Oreochromis niloticus: one gene and its partner. The protein of the gene in region 1 interacts with the protein of each later gene in a pairwise test. Links are inferred from orthologs where the notes say so. Each region holds a gene or a part of one and is shown on either strand. Other genes may lie near its edges.

The links. The genes of interacting proteins can lie anywhere in the genome.
Region 2: the proteins of sgtb (region 1) and txndc12 interact in binary tests that used the Homo sapiens proteins (3 or more experiments, as listed by UniProt). The two-hybrid records come from large-scale screens. The link is inferred for Oreochromis niloticus from reciprocal best matches to the Homo sapiens genes SGTB and TXNDC12.

Annotation. Positions count from the first base shown.
Region 1 is NC_031972.2:13,434,657-13,445,251, reverse strand, and holds the start of sgtb (small glutamine-rich tetratricopeptide repeat-containing protein beta), read right to left. Parts: upstream 4,153-10,595; 5' UTR 4,052-4,152; intron 2,070-4,051; 5' UTR 2,057-2,069; coding exon 1,957-2,056; intron 1,645-1,956; coding exon 1,541-1,644; intron 1,403-1,540; coding exon 1,327-1,402; intron 1-1,326. Other genes in the region: nln (neurolysin, mitochondrial), read left to right, coding at 4,309-4,349, 4,848-5,098, 5,852-6,000, 6,396-6,500, 6,718-6,820, 6,911-7,071, 7,744-7,879, 8,742-9,108 and 5 more. UniProt on the Homo sapiens protein: Co-chaperone that binds directly to HSC70 and HSP70 and regulates their ATPase activity.
Region 2 is NC_031982.2:25,252,618-25,262,853, forward strand, and holds the start of txndc12 (thioredoxin domain-containing protein 12), read left to right. Parts: upstream 1-6,399; 5' UTR 6,400-6,481; coding exon 6,482-6,581; intron 6,582-7,587; coding exon 7,588-7,648; intron 7,649-7,927; coding exon 7,928-7,980; intron 7,981-9,356; coding exon 9,357-9,430; intron 9,431-9,615; coding exon 9,616-9,685; intron 9,686-10,236. Other genes in the region: transcription factor BTF3 homolog 4, read right to left, coding at 1-148, 1,086-1,199, 3,720-3,773. UniProt on the Homo sapiens protein: Protein-disulfide reductase of the endoplasmic reticulum that promotes disulfide bond formation in client proteins through its thiol-disulfide oxidase activity.

The sequences.
Region 1 (10,595 bases):
GAGAAACGAGCAGAAACAACAGAACACGTCTACTCCCATCAAGGCCACCCGAGTCTTTAAAGAGCAAACACCCATACACACCCACCCAGAAACCCCAAGTTGCTACAACCAACAGCAAAGACAGAGTGGCAGTGGACGCCAACATGTCGACACAGAAACATGCAGGAAGGCCTCCACCAGTGTCTGAAGCCCTCACTAAGACCCAACAGAGGCCAGACAGCACATTCCAGTCCCACCCGGGCAGCATGGACAGCCAGGAATAGGATCCCACTGCACTGAGGGAGCCGAAAGACAGCGAACAGACCCAAACCCCAGGAAGGACACCGAAAAGCACAACCAGGGTGCCAGGACACACACACCCTAGCGGCAAAGGTCAACCAAGCACATGCTCCCCACATTTAGATCACAGGCTGAGGGTGTTTTAAAGTAACACTAACAATATGTAAGGATACTACTTTAACCAAGCTTCAGATGTTTCAGAGTTATAAGCTCTTCAACTGATCCACCAGCTTTTATATCTACACTATTTTATTATATGCAGGTGCAAATCATATATTAAAATTACAAATATTGGTCACCTCCTCTGTCTGAATTTATTTAAATAGCACAATAAATTTTGCGTCACTTTCACAAAAGATTTTAATGAATAAAAGCAGGTTTCGTCTGGGTGGTTGCCACTAGTAACAAAAGAGTTCTGAAGTGAGTTACTTCTGTGAGCAGGACATATGAAGCCAAGAGCAGAAAAAAAACTGTCTGAAATAGAGTGTTCAGAATGAAGCCTGAGCTTTTGGCTCAATGGGGCCTTTTTAATATGAGTATCCATCACTTTAACAGTATATATATGATAGATAATGAGGAAAATAAGACAAAATTAGATTCAAATGCACTTGAGAAACATCAACTGAACTTGCACTGCTACATAATCATTTACATCGTGACAAATGGAATTGAAACTAATCATGGTGCCTCCAGTGATGATAAATGTAATCAGTGTGTTCCCCACCCACAGCAATTTGACAGCACAATTCAATAAAACATTCCAAACCCTGTGGGGGATGAATTTACAAAAAGCAAGAACAGACACAGAAAGGTAGAAGTTTAGGGATTATTTCAAACTTTGTCCATGTTTAATATGATCAACAAAACAGCAATAATAGGAAATCATAAATTAAGTAATAATAATACAAAATAAGGTAATGCATACATGTCCACTATGAAGCGCATCAGAGCTGATGCAAAACATGCATAATAATAATAATAATGTAGAAGCTCACCATATTTATTTATGAACCTAATGTAATTAGATGTGAAGTGTTTCAAGATTACCTTCATTCTTAAGCAGCTCTGCTCGTTCGATGTCTTCAGGAGATGGGGAGCTCTCTGGTATGGTTAGATTGTCATTCTGTGCAAATGTAAAATAAAAGAGTCAGTGAATAAACACACAGGACATTCTGACTGGACACAAAAAAAGCACTGGTGTAATTAAGTCGTCATAATTGTACTGTGTATTTTACAATACTGTAAAGCATGCACTACCCACCTTGAGCAGGGCATTGAGGAATATCTCTCTAAGTGACTGTGGCACTGAAAGATGACAGTCACTGGAGCTGATCTTGAAGGTGGTCTCCAAGCACTGTATAGCAACTGCATTGGAGAATCAGCCAACATATGACAGAGTAGTTTTGTGTTAACTGGATAATCATGTTGAGTCAGAACTTGGCTCTACGCTCAGAGCAAGTCATTTGAATAATTCTTTTCAACAGCACTGCTTATCAAACCCTGATTTTGGTCATGTTTTCTTACTACCGTGACAGTTCTTAGCTTACTATCAAGAAAAGGGACATGATGTATGTACAGTTTGTGCAGATTCAGAACTCTGAAATGGACGAGACAAGGCAGAGTGCCCAGTGTTTGCACAGACACTTTCTAAGGCATAAGTGCAGTGAGTCGACCTACCTTCGAGGCTTTCCTGCTCATCAGAATTCAAAGTACCACAATGTGTTTGATCTCGTAGGAACTGCACAATAGAGAATGCCAGGCGCTTTTCCACAGCCATTTTTACCTAGAAACTGGTAGGGACAAGAAGGGGTTTGGAATCAAATGGAAAGGAAACCACTCAATGGTGACTGAATTACTAATTCACGAGGTGCCATTTCATAATAAAAGTAACAAACACATGCTTAAATAATGCTTAACTATAATGCTTAACTATAACTAAGTCAGTATAAAATACTGTAATTGTGCTTATTTAATCAAACTCGGACACAGACTCTATGCAGTCCTCTGAAGTACACACCTACTGCTTCCATAGGAATTATAAAGGTAAGCAGCAGGCAAATGCGGGTTATCAAATGCACTTGATTAACTTTTGCAGCTTGCTGGTTTGGAGCATTTAGGTGTGTGTTCACCTCAAGGTCAGACCATGCAATGCTTAGAAAAATGGCAAAATACCCAAGAGCTACATCTCACACTCTACAGGGCTCAGTAAGCATTTTAAATGTTTAATTTTATGACAGTACACTTAGAAAAAGACTAAAATGTTTTGGAAGGCTTGCCATGAGAAATCTTCTTCTCTCTAGTTTGCAAACTTGCATGTGAACAACCCACAAGTCTTCTGGGACAATGTCCTTTGGACAGACAAGACCAGAGTGTTGAATTTAAAATGAGCACAAACACTTTTTACCAACTGTCTGGTGGTGGGCTGATGATTTTGGCTTGTTTTTTATTTGATTTGTTGAGCCAAAAATCCTCCATAGCAATGTGAGAGAGTGACAAAGTTATACATTAAGGTGGTTCTACAAGCATGTAGTTTTTCACTAGAGTGCATACAGTCCAGTGAAAAGTTTTTCAAGACTGTATTTCCTGGCTGATATAGCAATCAGACAATTTTATTGAATTATGCTGTTCTGCCACAAGTATATAAAAAATGTAGAATATTTAATAAAGGTTAATAAAGAATGACCTGTTCCTTTTTCCAGTTTAATTTCTGATTTACAAGTTACATGTTTATATTATTGAATATTTTTTAACCCTAAAAATCAATACGGGCATTGTTATGCAAAAATTCAGTATCAGTGTGACTCTATTAAAATGGGCACTACTTCAAAACAAAGAAGCTGGCTTAGGGAGCACATTTTTGGTGCTTTTAATATATGCATTTCATTTTTTATTCAGCAATACATTACGTTTTATATTTTCAGGTTTAGAAGAGGCTGAGATAGTAGTTATGACCTAATTATAAACCTGGGCTCGACTATCCCAGGTTATTTTTTAGGTGCCAGTAGTTATCTTGCATTTGTTAAGGACTCTGTAGCAGTGAAGGAGAATATCAAATGACTGCATTGCATTTTGATAGTAAATCTCTACAGCTACAAAGTTGCACTACAACTGATACTGGCGATCTGCAGTTTCTTGTCATTTTATTGCCTATAACAAAAAAAAGCCTTGCCCCTCAGAAGGCTAGTTACTGCTTGATTTTTCTAAGTCGGACTGAGGCAAAAAGTGTGTGGGGAAACTGGGGCAAAAAAAACATGGCCACAGAATCACAGTGAGGGATGCTACAGACACAAACACTATTGCCTCATACGTCTGTCACGTGCTGAAACCAAGCGTTATGTTCATTTGAGTCTAGCTAGCACAGCTACTCCTCCCTTCGTGTGTGTTGACACACGTAAATGCAGTGATGCAGAAGCTGTGATGTAATAGCATAATGGGTGTTTTCATTCACTGCACTGACTTTATACGTTTATTTTAAATAAATGCATTGCTAAAATAAAATTATAATTTAGCCAGTGGCGCTGGCAGGTGTTTGTCTTTTAAGGAAACCTACACCCTGACGGTCCGGACAAACAAGGCTCGCGCGCTGCTTGTGTGATGCTGGCTAAAACAATCACAACCCTTTACCAAAAAAACAAAACAAGACAGGAAAACAGGAGGAGGAGAGGAAACAGAGGTCATCCTCGGAGCCCTACAAACAACACGAAGTCATTTTAAAAATAACACTCTATTAAAGGATGCTGTTCAGTGTGTGTCCCCCCTCCCGCCCACCTACCTGAGGTCTTATCCAGCTGTCTGCTGCTACCGCGTCATGAGGAGGGCTCAAGTCGGATCGATCGCGTCTTCCTCCTCTGCGCCTGCGCGTTAACAACGGAAATAAGAAGCGGTTCCCACGCGAGAAACGGGGAGAGATACCGGTCTTTGCTGCAACTACAGGGACTGAGCCATAGTAAGGCAGGAAGAAACGGGTTAATTTTATTTTTATGTATTTTTTTTTTTTTTTGCTGAAAGAAATCGCATGATACTGCTGGCATGTATCTGCTAACAGCTATAGTTTGCCGAGCACATTTCAGGTATGCTAAACATAGTCCACTATGGACTAGTCCACTAAATTGTGGTTGTTTATTACGTATGTGTGACAGATTGGTGAACTACGTTCAACAACTTTAAATTGCTAATTGCAGTGTGTTCCGCTTCCACGGACACCTGTCCACAATTAAAAATAATTTAAAGTGACAAAGTGACAACTCCTGCTTATTGGCACTTTAAGGATAACTGAGCTGTTTTTGTACGTTTTGGCTGCTTGACAGTTATTCCACGCTTTTATGAACTTCGTTTGAAAGGCTTCCGCTCGCACTGCCATGGCATGAAACTCTACACTGATGGATGAACCACGAGGGAAAAACATTACCGGTTATAGCATGGAAAGAAGTGTATCGAGTGTGTCCATGAAGATTGTGCTTACATTAATACCACCTATTCGAGCTGATCGGTTTCTTGACTATGGAGCAACAGAAAATATTGTTCGTTTTGGGGGGCGGTGGGTATTAAAAGGTCCAATTTTTTTACAGGGTCTGTAAACCTCTCCTGAGAATGACCATCGCTAGTGGGTCAGTGCTGTCTGCCAGAGACTGCTCTCAGGCAGGGCATGTGAGGAACACACTGAGGTGGAACCTGTCTCCAGATGAGATCAGGACTATGACAGACAGCTTAATTGCCAGAGTAAAGAAGGTCTATGACGACGTTGGATCCCTAAATATAGAAAATGTCTCTGTTGAAAACACCCTGATGACCTTGGCTAATGCTAAGATGGATTATGCATGTAAGTGTGCTGGTGTATTCTGGTTTACAATTCCATGAAACCAACAAACCCAACAATGTTTGAATCCCGCTAATGAGTATACACAAGCTAACTATATGTTAATAACATCAGTAAGCTATACTATCACAGAGAGTTATGCTGCACATGTGAAAATTCTTTAGTTCTTGCAGCAGTTTCTTTGCTTACATTACTCCTAGCACTGTCTGCAGCATAAGAGTAGCATCACACCTGAGCAGACTGTGGTGTGGAGTCAAGTGGTGTCTTCCTGTTACACTTCCTAACTAATTAGTGACATTTCCTATCCAAGGGCTGATGAGTTTATAACATGGTGAGGCATCCATCCATCCATCCATAGCTCACATGAATGATTACTCCTCCAATAGTATTTATCGTAATTTAATCAAAGTTACATGCAATGATCAGCTAATAGAGCTTCACCCAATCTGTGCTCAAAGTCAAGGTCACGCTTGTGGTTTTACAGGCAGTAACATGCAAACTGTGATTGATCATGACCCTGATGAGCTACTACGTCACTCTGGCGTGTATATGTGTTTACACATTTTTAAAAAAATTAATTGATATTGGAATAATTTACGCCCTTGTGTACCATCATCAGAAATCTAATGTAGCTATTCTCTTCTATTTTTTGTCTTCATTAGGAAGGAATACAAAGGCTTTTAGCTGTTGTTTTTTATTATTCTGTTATTTTTGTAACGTTCACCGTCGCTGTTTTTGTTTGCTTTGCTCCCTTAGCATCACGCCACGTTCTTGCCTTCCCTCAGTATGTTTGTCCTTCTAAGGAGCTTCGATCAGCGAGCACCGAAGCTGAAAAGAGACTGTCTGAGTTGGACGTGGAGATAAACATGCGGGAAGATGTGTTCAAACGAATCACTGCCTTGCAGGTACGACTCGAGCCACATTCACTTCAAGTAAAGTGAGGACTTTTGTAAAAACTGATACCTTTATGAGGCCACACAGATAATGACGTGTTAAAGCAGTCTTAATCATAAAAGGCTAATGTGTGAGGATTGGCTGCATTTATGAAAATCTTAAACTATTTTCACACTTCATGTCAGCCAGAGGCCAACAGATCATAGAGGCGCAAGGACTACTGGTTCTTATTAGACTGGAAACGAAATGTAATCTCATCTGATCAGTGGCAGCCAGTGCCATATGTTATTTCATGCTGTGCTGGCTCCCTGGCATGCAATATATAAATAGGTGAATAAATTTAGCAGAATGCCTGCTATTCTACCTGTATGAGAAGATGTTTAGTGTTATGATTGTGTTTTGGTAGAATAAACAGAAAGACAACCTTTCAGCTGAGGAAAAAAGATTCCTGGACAGACTTGTTACACTGGGCCAGAGGAAAGGATTGCACCTGTCTAAAGATATACAAGAGGTAATGTCATGTGTGATCTGATTATTAATATGGAAGTCATTTGTTAAAGTTACAGGTTAAAGGAGTTTAGAGATTAATTCCAATGTTTCATAATTGAAAAGAAGAAGTAAGCAAATAGAATCACATTGAAAGTGCCTGTAAATCTTTGCTTATCTTATTAGATAGTAAAAAATTAAAATCTCTGTGATGTCTTTCGCTCTGTGTTCTCTCTCCTAAGGAAATAAAAAGAACTTCCAAGCTCATCAGCGAACTCTCCATCGAGTTTAACAAGAATCTGAACGAGGAGAGCAAATTTCTTATTTTCTCTGAGCACGAATTAGGTGAGCTTGATACGTGAAACTCATGAAACGCTGCCTTGAGAGCCACGCTTTAACCGTATTCACTGATTCTCTTGTGACATACTTGCTCAGGTGGGCTAGCTGCCACTTTTCTCAGTGGACTGGATAAGACGGCTGAAGGACGGTATAAAGTGACCCTGGAATATCCCCATTACTATCCACTGATGAAGAGGTGCCATAATCCTGAAACAAGGAGAAAGATGGAAATGGCTTTTAACAGCAGGTGTAAAGAGGTAAACCGCAGGCTGATGATTAATATTTATATCCCAAATTTTAACCCTGTAACGCCAAGCGGATCATATTTGATATATGAGTTTCTAAGACCTCTAACAATCTGATTCTTTGGTCACTTATAGGTTTTTGTTTGATTAGGATAAGGATACTATGACCAATAATGCTGGATATACCAAAAATGATACAAACTTATTATTATTATTTTTTTAGTTTCCTGAAGGTTCAATAAACACTCCAGTTTAAAAAAAATAAAAATAACTATAAGTCACATTAATGTTGGACAGCTATGGATCCATACACATGTGCAGGTGAAATGAGAAAATGTGTGATATAAAAAGCTGCGGACAACAGGCCCTGGTGTTGTTGTGGTAGCTACTCAAGCCACACTGGGAAGCTTTTTCCTTTAATTTGTCGCCTGCTCGTATGTCTAAATGACATACAAGGATACAATCAGCAATTGCTGTCACTTTAGCACATTAATGAAACAAGCAATGTTGCATATCCCATGTCTTGAGAGGGCTGAAGTTGCAGCCCAGAGAACCTGCTTGGTGAAACCACATATTACTACTGGTTACCAAATGTGTCACAGAATCAACTCAGGCTGGAAACCTGTTTTAATAAGCTTAATTAAATGATTTAACTGAGCTGCGTCTCTCGTTTTTTTCCCCCAGGTAAACACGGCAATCTTAGAAGAGTTGATACAGCTGCGGGCGAAGGTTGCACACTTACTTGGTTACGGTAGCCATGCTGAGTATGTGCTGGAGATTAACATGGCTAAAAATGCAAGCAACGTGTCTGACTTTCTGGGTATGGTCTCTTTGACATCTGACCTCGCTGCCACACACATACACATGCAAACATTCCCTGTCATTTAAGATGAGCTCTCCCGCCTCCTGATAACTGCCTTAAAGTAGGAAAAGAAACTCAATAGGACAGATGAATGGGTGTGCAACTCCACACGCAGTCACATAACATGCAGGGTGAAATGTAATCAGTTACTAATGACAAATTACACAACATCAGCTTTTTATAATTAGTAGTGGCTGTAATCAGGTTGAACAACTAAAAGCATGTCTTTAATCTCAAAAAGTGAAATAAACCAGAGCTCACAAAAGGAGCACAAGAAGCACAGAAATTCAAGTCCAACAAAGGAAAAAGACAAGACTGTATACATGCACAGAGAGATGCTCAGTAAGAATAAATCATAGAATCAGAACAAAAGCAAAAGGTTAAAGTACAAGAGGCACAAAGAAAAGTTTTTCCCACAGTAAAAACAGGAAGTGTAAACTAGAAAGACAAGAGAACTAACAGAGAGACAAAGACAAGGAAGCAGTGGGATACTACAGAAAGAAGAAGAAAGGAAACATAAGAAATGACATAAATAGAATCAAAACAGGAACCAAAACTCAAAAAATATCACACAGGAACCCAGAACCGCACTAATAGTTTTCAATGCAAACAACAAATTTTGAATATTCAGCATTTGCAGATTTAGAACAGATTTCCTCTACAAAAACGTTCAACTTTCATATTCTTTTTTTGAGTGTGCAAAGGGAGTTAGTTTGATTTGGGCTTTAAAAAGAAGATAAGAAAGTAGACAGCAAAAGGTTCAAAAAAATTGCATGCTTCACATTCCGACTAAGGAGTTTTTCTTTTTCTGCCTTTACAGACAAGTTCCATGAAACGCTGAAGCCCGTGGGAATCAAAGAGAGGAAATACATTCTTGCGCTGAAGAAGAGGGAGTGCCTGATGAAGGGCTACCAGTTTGATGAGAAGATTAATGCCTGGGACTTACCCTACTACATGAATCAAGTGGAGCAGCGCAAGTTTGCTGTGGACAAGGACAAACTAATCGAGTATTTCCCTCTTGATGTGGTGACAGAAGGGCTGTTTGGTATCTACCAGGAGCTGCTGGGTCTCATATTCACAGAGGTGGAACAGGCTGACGTGTGGCATGAAAATGTCAAGCTGTACTCAGCCCGGGACACTGAAACAGGGGAGGAGATTGGTCAGTTCTACCTGGATCTGCATCCAAGGTAGATTATGTGTCATTTTTTTCAGAGACAAGATAAGATCCTGTGTTTGATGTCTTTATGAAGTGTGAGCTCACTAACATTCACTAGAGCTCTTGATCTGTGTGATAGACTTCAGCCTGACTGTGACATTTCACCAGGGAGGGAAAATATGGCCACGCAGGTTGCTTTGGGCTCCAGCCTGGCTGCAGAGGCCCCGATGGAAAGCGCAGGCTGCCGGTTGCGGCCATGGTAGCCAATTTCACCAAGCCTAGAAAAGGTTGTCCTTCTCTCCTCCAACACCATGAAGTGGAGACCTATTTTCATGAGTTTGGTCATGTCATGCACGAAATCTGCTCTAAGGTCAGTCGCTATGTTCAGTCAGGAAGTTATTGATATTTATATACTGTGTGCTTATGAATAAAAATTAGTTTTTCTGTGTATGCGTCAGACTGCTTTTTCAGAATTCAGCGGAACAATGGTGGAGACAGACTTTGTGGAGGTGCCGTCTCAAATGCTTGAGAACTGGGTTTGGGAAAAGGAGCCTCTGAGAAGAATGTCCTGTCACTACAAAGATGGTACCTCCATCCCAGACGAGCTGCTCGACAAACTGATTGCCTCCAGAGTTGCTAACACTGGTCAGACACCTAAACTTTGCACAAAAAAGTCTGTTACATTTATGTGTAAGTGAAGAGTCTCTGTTGATGTGTTCACTTCAGGGCTTATGAACCTACGTCAGGTAGTCCTTAGTAAGGTGGACCAGTCGCTTCACACCAGCCCACGTGCAGACACTGCTGAGGTGTTTGCAAAGCACTGCCAGGACATCCTGGGTATTCCTGCTACACCAGGTCAGCTTTAGCTTCAGCTATTTAGAATATATTTGAGAAATTATTGCATTAGAATTTCTATCAGTGATGCGGATTTACATTTTATAATAAACAGTCCACTCTGGGCATTAGTAGTTTGTATTCAGTGTTTTGTATGAAGCGCACAGACACTATCGTTTTTCTTTTTTGGAATTTGTATTAGCGATTTGTAACAAAGATCTGCTCTCTGCAGGAACCAACATGACAGCCAGTTTTAGCCACTTAGCTGGAGGATATGATGGTCAGTACTATAGCTATCTATGGAGCGAAGTCTACTCCATGGACATTTTCTTCAGTCGTTTTAAAAAGGAAGGCATTATGAATCCAAAGGTTGGTTTTCTGGTTGAACATTTCACTCTAATGATGTCTTATTTTTCTTGAAACTGTCTTTATATGTGCATTTATGCCCTGAACACAGGTTGGAAAAGAGTACAGAAGAGTGATACTGGAAGCTGGAGGCTCTGTGGATGGGATGGACATGGTGAAAACCTTCCTCGGACGTGCGCCGTATCAGGATGCCTTTTTCCAATGCAAAGGACTGGTTAACTCACAAGAAGCATCAATGTAATCTGATGTGATCTTTAACTGTTTTTGTCATTATTATATTATATCTGGATGCAGGTAAATGTCAGTTGAGAAATAAGG
Region 2 (10,236 bases), on another chromosome or scaffold:
CCAGCTGGCTCAGGATGCCGGGCAGCATCTCTGTCAGCTGTTTGGTCTCTCCGTGGCCCGTGATGGCGAAGGTGTTGGCAGACAGAGACGCCTGAACTTTGGGATTGTTGAAGTGAATCACCGTCCCGTCATCTTTTATCATATTCACCTGAGAGAAAGAGGGAAACAGCACAGTCTGGATTAGAGCCTTTATCCTACAACATTCTGCACTGTCAGGCTTATTAACACCAGCCCAGGTATATTAGACGCTCTGGAGGGCAGAGGATTCCAAAAACAGAAATGCTCTGAGGAAATAAAGTACTACAAATACAGAAGTACAGTAGAATGACATTTCAGTTTTCAAGAATCTGTGACAAATGCATTAATGTCCTTTGAGTAGTTTTGGTTGGGCCTGTCCCAGAAACACCCACTGTGCAGATTATGATATGTGACTGTATCAGGTTCCAAATTAGCAAGTGTGTGATGTGATTCAACCAAAATAAAGACGTATGAGACTGTTGGATCTAAGACTGGTCTATGAATCATGGTTTTCCTGAGGCACTAAACACCACAGTTAGCACATTTAAACAGGCATATAAGGTAAACAGATTTAAGCTAGGGGCTGGGTTGAGCATAATCAAATTCATCAATGGAAAACAAAATATATTATTTGATGCTTGATGCCAAAGTAACAAAAAAATATATACATTTAGCCCAAAATCACCACGCTGTACAGGCCCTGCAAAAAACCCAACAAAACTAACTGCTGTAATTATCTTAACAATATAGACAGTATGCTGTAAAGACAAAATGTATATTAAGTCAAAAAAAAAGAAAAAAAAAAAATGTGCATCTGGTGAGGGTCCCTTTTTTGTTTATGCTCTGATGTAACAAGGACACTTTATGGTATGCCCATTTGCTGAAAGCTCCCTAAAAATAAACTGGAAGATGACATGACTGCGCTTCACTTAGGCGCCCCCCCGTCTTTCATCCTTTCGTATGCCGCATGACATAATGATAAAAAATTCAGGATCCTCAGAAAGAAACAAATCAAAATAGAACAGACAGAGAGTAACAGTAGCATTAATTTCCCTTTGATGGCTCACCTCTTCTATCCCTGCGATGTTGTTCACTGCCAGTTTCTTCAGAGAGCCCTGCAGCTTTTTGTCGTCAGCTGTTGCAGTTTTGTGAACAACCTTTTTCTTCCTGCGGGCCGTTCCCTGAAGGGGAAAAAAATGGATTTCATAACCGAGTGAACCAGAATGTCAAACATAGTTAAGGTCACACGCGTCATCCTGTCATGGACATAAAATTACCTTCACAGAAAAAGACCTGTTTTTATTATTATAAATGAGTGTCTCATTCTTCCCATCTCAGAGTGCATTCTTCAAGACAATTACATTAATCTATAAATACTGTGGCTCAGGAGGCAGAGCAGTTGTCAGGTAATTTTCAAGGTCAGCGTCTTTGGTAAAGATTTTGAACCCCAAATTTCCCCAGAAGCAGCTGCACTGACACAACCCACAATGATTGTGATTGGCTCATTCATTACCATCATTTTAAATAGAAAAAACAAAACAGATTAACTAATAGAAAATGGAGAGCCTCCATTGGCCACTAGTACTTAGTGTCAAAACTGCAGAGCAGCAGCGCCGGTACATCCACAAACAGCTAAAAATACAGTGCTCCATTTGAAATGGAAAGTTGGAAATCTTGGAATTTTCAGCTGAAAGTTAGGCTTCCCACATGCACCAACATTGTGAGTGTAAACAGTAGGAAAACTGAAGAACCTGCCATGTGTACAACCACTGTTGTGTATTTGTCACTGGTTAAACAAGCAAACACAGAGAACCAAACCTTTTCATTAACATGTTGCGGCGACATGCTGTGGCGTCATGCTGCAGCAGTGGCGGCAATGGCAAAAAGACAGAAGGCAGGGCTGAAGATGCTAAGATTCTCACTGGTAGTGATCAGGATGGACAGGATTAGAAATGAGTACATCAGAAGGACAGCTCAAGTTAGAGAGGCAAGGCTGAGATGGCTTGGATATGTGCCGAACAGGGGGAGTGTATATATTGGACAATGGATGTTGAAGATGGCACTGCCAGGCTGCAAGAAGAGAGCAAGACCACAGGGAAGATTTCATGAATGCAGTGAAGGCGGACAGAGAAGATGCTAGGGATAGGGTGAGATGGAGGCAGGTGATCTACTATGGCGACCACTAAAAGGAGCGGCTGAAAGTAGATGACGACAATGTCTGGAACATGCTTGACTTTAAATTTAAAAATCTGTCCAGTTAGGAAGAACTGAGCAGTGTACCATAAAGACAGACATAATGAGTTCGCTTATTTTACATGACTGGTGCTAAACATATAACCTAGTCCAAAGGAGGTTATGCACGTTACTCAATCTCAAACTGCTGAAGAAGAAAATTTATCCCACTGAAAGAAGCCGAGCAGTATAATTAAAGTAGAATTGGTGCAGTCTCAGAAATGTACCTGAATTCATTTAGAGATACAGAACACACATTTTGATGCTTGGTAATTTTATACCAAGTCTGTTTTACAGTGCCAGCAATACAGCTAATAGAGCATAAGCCTATTTCCAGGCTAGTTATCAACAGGCAACAAAATCAAAGGAAATGTTTTCACTTTGGAACTAAGATAAACACCACGTCATCTTCATTGGTATATGGGAGACACACTGAGTAATGTGAAGATTCAATGTCACATTAGAAACAAACAGCAGCACTCAGCATGCACTGAGTGACAACATAAACAAACATATGAATTCACAGGATTTTCTGCAGCACTGCTTTCTTTACTTATATATAACTGGATTAAGAAAGAAAGCTGCCAACCACGGTGGTGATACTGGGGGTTTTGCCAAGCTGTGTAATGTAAAGAAATCCTGTTTATGTTCACAGTGTCACAGCACAGGTCACTCCTCTGGACAAGTACAATTTTTTTTAAGTACCCAGACAAAACACATACTTTACTGTACACCATGTGACCTTCCATGTGACCATATTAAGCAAAACATGGGCAGTATTGATGCACTAGTAAGCAAAATATTACACCCAAAAAAGGGAAGTTATTCCAAAAGTTAAAACTACGCTGCTCAATTGAAGCAAATAGAGTTACAAATCAAACTTCTGTGATGGCTGAATTATCAGAAAGCTTCCGTAGGTTGAAGAAAAGAAAACAAAGAAAGGTGCTTAAGCTGTGTGAGATACCGGTCGCCTCCTCCACCCAGTGAGCTAAAGTAGTGTCCACTGACCTTTATTTTATTTTAAGCAAGAGCTTTACTCACACCCAAATATTTAAACTAGACATTATCCATCTATATTTCAGCACCATAAATTCATTGTGATGTATACACAGAAACAAAAGTCTGTTGAGGGTCACTCCAGTTTAAAAAAAAAAAAAAAAATGTTGAGAATGCCGATGTGAGGTTAAAGGAATTTCAGAGCAAGAAAAACAAATAACGCCACCTAGTGTGTGACTGAAAGCCTCACAATAAATGTGAACAAAGCCAGAGAGCCAGAGATGAAGGGGGGCACAGTTCTGCCCTCCCCCAAAAAGGGAATGCTGAGGTCAGGAGGAAACACCTGACCTCAGCTGAATACCATCACACCTTGAAATGAGCAGGAAAATGAACCCAAGAGAGTTGAATCCATAATGTGACATCTGTTAAGTTACCATAATTAGAATAAAAGAAGAGATCCAGCAAACTCTTACCTTTCCACCTATCCGGACCTGAGCCTGAAGTTTAGCGAGCTTCTCTTGATTCATAGTGTTCTGTTTTGAAAGTTAAAGAAAAACACACGTTTAACATGATTTTATTCCCATGCTTATCAAACAGGGAAAGAAAACAGTTTTTGTTTTTTTCAGCTCTTAAAACCACCATCTGCCTAAGGAGCGCCGCATGTGGCTGCTGAAATACAATAGTCCCAGCATGAGCTACAATAATCCCCCAAAATAACAAACTGGAAATGAGCTGACTGACAATCTGATCGTTATACTCAACCTGCTGACCATTATACACTGAATGTGATGAAGAGATATATCCGGGCTTTGTCGTTTTAAATTACATCTACGATAACTGCAGCTAGTTAGGCTGCTAACTAGTTGAGTAGCTAAGCTAATCCTAGCATCAAGCCAGAAGAAAGCAGCTGAACGCACCTGCTTTGGTATCGACAACTAAATTTAAGCTCAAATCCAATGATGCAAACAAACCAGCGCAGATGTCTGCCGAGAAATACCCCCCAAATTACCTGCGGTAATGAATTTGCTGACGGTCAGTTGTACTAGTCTCGATGTTAACCACCCAGCTTAGCTTAAACTATCATTAAGTCAGCAGCAATCATATACATTTCCTGTTGGGATTTTCACTATAAAGTTTACATAACGCCCGTCAAACGATGTTATATAGCTTTTATCCAGATGAAAAGGACATAAATACAAATGTTAAAAATATCTCAAGTTAAATTTAAACTTAGATTAACTGACATATGTAAATATATTGTATATTTGCTATATTTCGATGTAGTTCGAACTTTTATTTTGGCGCGACTTTCCGGTGTTATATTAGAATTTCGTCGTCTAGCTTCACTATCTGACAAAGCAGCGAAGAGCACGCGGTTATGTGGATGTGATGTCATATGACCCGCCCCTCCAAAAGGAAAATGAATCACCGTTGGCCAATAGTAAAACGCGGACACACACGCGCGCACAAACGTGCACGCCCACAAACACAAAATGATTATTACAAAATATGAAAGTTTTAGGGAAGTTTACATACATTCGTCACGGACATTAATGTCATGGTAATTTGGGGCTTTTCATGATTTTTTCGATTTTTTCTTTATTCAGGTTGGTATGACTGGACAATATCCACCTTTAATTCATTTAAATAAACAAGAACTGTGTGCACAAGTTTGTGTTTATTTTGGATTTTCTCTAACCCAGGGGTATATATGCACAAAATCCCATTAATGATTGGTTAAAATTGCATCTCAACCGCTGATATTTGACCAAAAAGATTGGTCAAATATCAGCGATCGTGGCTCAAGAGTTGGGAGTTTGCCTTGTCAATTGGAAGGTTGCTGGTTCGAGCCCCGGCTTGTGTCCTTGGGCAAGACACTTCACCCGTTGCCTACTGGTGGTGGTCAGAGGGACCGGTAGCGCCAGTGTCCGGCAGCCTCGCCTCTGTCAGTGGTGGCTCGCCCAGGGTGGCTGTGGCTACAATGTAGCTTGCCATCACCAGTGTGTGAATGGGTGGATGACTGGATGTGTAAAAGCGCTTTGGGGTCCTTAGGGGCTAGTAAAGCGCTATACAAATACAGGCCATTTATCAATCTTTTTGGTAGATTTGGTAAACTTTCAATTGGTTTCCTGGCACAGATTCGGCTGTTAAGCATAGTCCACAAATTATTAATAGAGGTTGAAGTTGGGGTTTTGGGAAGGCCATTTTAGAAGCTTAATGTTAGCCAGTGTACCAGTACCACTGGCAGCAAAAGAGTCCTAGAGCGTAATGCTACCACCACCATGCTTGACCAATGGGAAAAGTGTTCCTAGGTTTAAAAGCCTCATCTTTACTACTCCAAACATACTTCTCATCATTGTGCTCAAACTGTTCTCCAGAAGCCATTTGGTTTGTCCATATGAATGGCTGCAAACTCCAGTCGAGCCCAAAGGTGTTGATTTTGAAGCAGCACCTCTCAGACCATGGTGATGTAAAACTCACTTCACTGTGGACAGTAACACTGATGTCCCAACAGTTTCTAATTCATGACAGGCTTGACCCTTGGTTGTGCCTGGGTTGTTTCTGACCTATCCTAACCTGTTTCCTCTGATCTGAAGGTCACAGTTTGCGTCTTCTTCCAGACCTTGGAAAAGTGGTGACACGTCTGGAAGCTTGTAGTTGTGTACAGGTAATTGAAGTTATGATCTTGGAATCTGCAGTTGTTTCAAAATGGCTCCCAGACACCTTCCCAACGTTACACACACACACACACACACACACACACACACACACACACACACAAATGACAGCAATTTTGCGTTTTTTTTTTACTCTCAAATACAATTTTAGTAACAAAACTTTGGATTTTTTTTCTTGGAAATAACTCCACCCAGTTTCTTTCTTTTAGTATTTTTTTTTCAAGAAAGAAAGAAAAAAAGAAAGAAAGAAAAACAGAAAATAAAGTCAGGAAGAATTTTAACATAAATTTGTCATATAACAATAATATATAATTTTGCATTATAAAATGTAGTTTTTAACTTTGTGAGGGTTTTGTTTTTGTTTTTTTTGGCTATTGTTTCAGGCTATTGTTTGTTTTATAATTTTGTTTCCTGTGCACTATTTTGTAAAATCCCAACTTTCTCAATGGGGCTCTTATTGTGAAACGCGGCTGTTATACATCCGGGTCACTTGGCTAACTATCAGTCACTGCTGTTAGCTGTTCCCGTCCGCAGTTTGACAAGGAAAAGCACTCAAAATGCAAACCTCTCTGCTGAACTTCGGCCTTTTCTCAGTTTTTCAGCTTTTAATCTCTTTATCGTGTTTCCAGGAGGTTGTGCAAGCCACCAGCGGGAGAGGTGAGTTTAAATCTGGAGTTAATGATTGATTTAAAGCAGGATCTTTGTGCAGCTTCATTGATAGTGTCACCAGTGGGAGAGCAAAGCAGAGCAGAGCCAGATGTCTTTCATCCTGAAACCTAATATCCGTGTCCTGGTTTACTGAGCAGGTGTATGCAAGTGTTTCTGTCGGGCAGACATAATTTGTAGTTTTTCTGGTCAGCTTAGCCGAGTTGTTTTATAGCTTTAAGTCCTCTACAGACCTGCATTTAACGATTTCTTCATTAATACTGTTTTAACTTATAATTATACTCACTCAAAATAAAATGTTTTTCGCCAAGCACACAGGAAAATGAGATATATGCTTAAATAAAATATCCTTACATGAATGTAGATGCATTTTGATTGAAAAAAAAGTTGTACAATATGTATGTAAATAGTAGTGGGCGTTAAAAGAAACAAGCTAGTGAATGCGATTAAAGTTTAGTACTGAAACAAATATTAATCCATTGATTGCATTCTTAATTATTCAGAAGTACCCGAAAAGAGTAGAAAATAAAAAGGATGTTAAATAAAATTTTTTGGTCTTATAATCAAACAGCTTTTTCTTCTTGCAGATTTGCCAGTTTATTTCTGATAAATTCGCCACATTTTAATTCTCAATTTGCCCATTTTTTCTTACATCTTTTTCCTCATAAATTTTCCAGAATTTAATTTTAATAGTTTTTTCTTTTGTAAATTTGCCACTTTATTTTTGTTTATCTAAAATGTATTCCATGCTTATTAATAGTACTACTAGTAATAAGCTACTACTACCTTTATTACTGGTGAAGTAGCTGTATAAAGTACCTTGTTTCAGCCCTGTTTGCTATAGCACAATATAGTATCAAATAACTTGCCATTCAGTTGTATTTGTTTCCTTGTACCTCTATCTATTGATTGAGTATTTAGGGCAAACACACCCTGTTGTGCAACACAATACCAGATACACAGTGTGGGTGTGCTTATTGATTGTCTCTGCCTGCAGGATTTGGTGATCACATCCACTGGAGAACGCTGGAAGATGCCAAGAAAGAAGCTGAAGCCAGGTGAGCAAAAATATTACAACCACTTCCTGAAATGCTGCCAAAGAGCCTTTTGTGCAAAGATTAGCCTGAGGCAGCTGTTTAAAAAAAACCCACGCATACATCTATTTTTGTCCTGGTTAGAGGAGCAGATTGACAAGTTGTCAACGAGCGGGTGTAGTTTTTCATATGTTGCAATTTCAGGCTTTAAAAACATGGAGCAGTGTGAGAAGTTTTCAGTTTTGGAACAGCATGAGTTTAATTTTGGTTTTGATGCACTTTTAAATGTGTTTAAATTAACAGCGGGCTGCCGATCATGGTCATCATCCACAAGAGCTGGTGTGGAGCCTGCAAAGGTAAAATAATGTTCCACCGTTCATCTTGCAGAAACTGTCTGACTAAAAATCTGTTCTATAGAGTAAAAAAACGCCAAATTAGGTGTAATTAAAATCATGGTGAACATTATTGAGTTTAGTCGATTGACATTACTTTGAAGAGAGAATCAAAGCCAGACATGTTGCATATTTCCTGCTTAAAAATTATTTTATTTTATTACATAAAACATTTAAAATTTAGACAAGCTGTCTGAGTCATAAAGGCATAAAATACTGTACACGTGAAGCTTTTATGATCTGTAAATTTATGTACACGTAATAATAGTAGGCTCCCTATGTTGAACAACCAGGACAAGGTGTTGAAATTACGCTTACACCTTTTAAGATATCACATGTTTTTGTAAGTGACTGGTTCACTGAGTGTTAAAATGTGGACATTTGAGAATTTACTATGTTAAACTTTAGATGTGTGGCTCATGAACTAGAATGAACATGTTGTGTTGTCTCCGAGAACAGGTTGTTGTATGGATACTTTAAAAAGCCCCTAAAGGGCTGCTTTTTTAATGCAGGGCATGTTGCCAGTGGTTTAGCAGCCTGCCAGAAAGCTCCTGAAAACCTGTAAGGTAGCAATGCAGGGATCCTTAAACACCTGAAGCTGTACAGATGCTGTTGGGCCTTTTTAAGTCGCTTATGTCAGGTGTTTGTGTATGTGGACTCCCATGTATTTAAATCTGTGCATCCGCTCAAACCCTGGGGTCTGTTTACGATGAACAGCCAATCAGAAGAAAGTCACCTTAAAGGTAGATGAGCTAAACCAGCTTCTTTCAGACAGAAGATGAACTAAGGAGCTAAACAAGGATGATTCTGAACTTTGAGTCATGCAAAGCCCCTCTAGTAAAGTCCAAGAATGACAAAAGCTGGAGATGAGATCTATCTACAATGCCTGAAATTGAGTTTTATATTTGTTTAATTAACTTAGGATATTGCTTAGCAATTTAAATGTTACAGAAAATATATTCATGGAAAAATATTTCTGTTGAAAGCAGAATCAACTGTTTTTATCAGCTTTTTTAAATGATCCAAATCGTAGCTACAATGTTGTTGTTAATCAGGAAGCCCGTCTTTGGATCTCAGCCAGATGTGTAATGTGGAAAGGACAAACAAAGCAATCAGGAAATGACAAAAACCGGAAGGGTTGTTGGAAAAAATTAAGTGACTATTTTCACTAACAAGTGAAATGCAACATGAGAATTCAGCAGATCTGAAAACTTGGAAAAAAACTGAAGAACAACAGAGGCTTTTAATTATTTAAGCCTCTTCACCGTAAATATAAAAGCTTTTTGCATTTGATTGTGTGTAAAATAACCTCTTTACTATGTTGTTGTTTTTATAATCAGCACTGAAGCCCAAGTTTGCTGAATCCAAGGAGATCTCTGAACTGGCACACAACTTTGTCATGGTGAACCTGGAGGTGAGGATATATTGAAAGCACCTTAAAGCCGCTGCTTCCTGTATTTTCTGTTTATTTCAGTGTATTGATGTAAAAATATCATGTTTGTGCTCCCTTTTATTTCTTGTTTTATCGTCATGCTACAAGCCAGAATTGACACATTGGCGGTTTTTGGATTTGTTTCCACTAATCTCTCATTTTACCAGGATGAAGAGGAGCCAAAGGATGAAGCCTTCACCCCAGATGGGGGATACATTCCTCGGATTCTTTTCCTTGGTAGGAAGGCGGGGGCGTAATCAGCCTTGATGTACACAGCTTTGAGGAGTGACTCCTTGTGCAGTTAGTGGTAGTAGTAATAGTTTTCTGGTCCAGGTTACATTATATTATCAGAAAACGGAAAGTTTTCAGAACTAAAGGCAAAGTTAGTATTGTTATAAATAATACAATGAAAAGTTTCTAAACAACACTGTCATACCAAGTCTCGTCCAGTTCTCTTTGGGAAATGTTTAAAAAAGGCCTAATGGGCAGGTTGAACTTCCTGCAGCTCTACACATAAACTCAGAAGTTTATGAATGAATTGTGTCGTACTTTTATGCACTTATTTGCCCTAAAAAGAATAATTTGGCCAGACATTCCTTCCGAGAGGACATAGCAGATCTGAATCAGAGGTTGACATGACCCTGTTGTAGGTCCACTTATTAAAGACAGGCTGTAAAAGGTGTGGAAGCCATCCATAAGTCAAAATTTATATGGAGAGAAATTTGCCTCAAAAGTGTTACAGATATTGTCCAGAAGCGTGAACTAAAATTTACAAACGTGTGCAACTT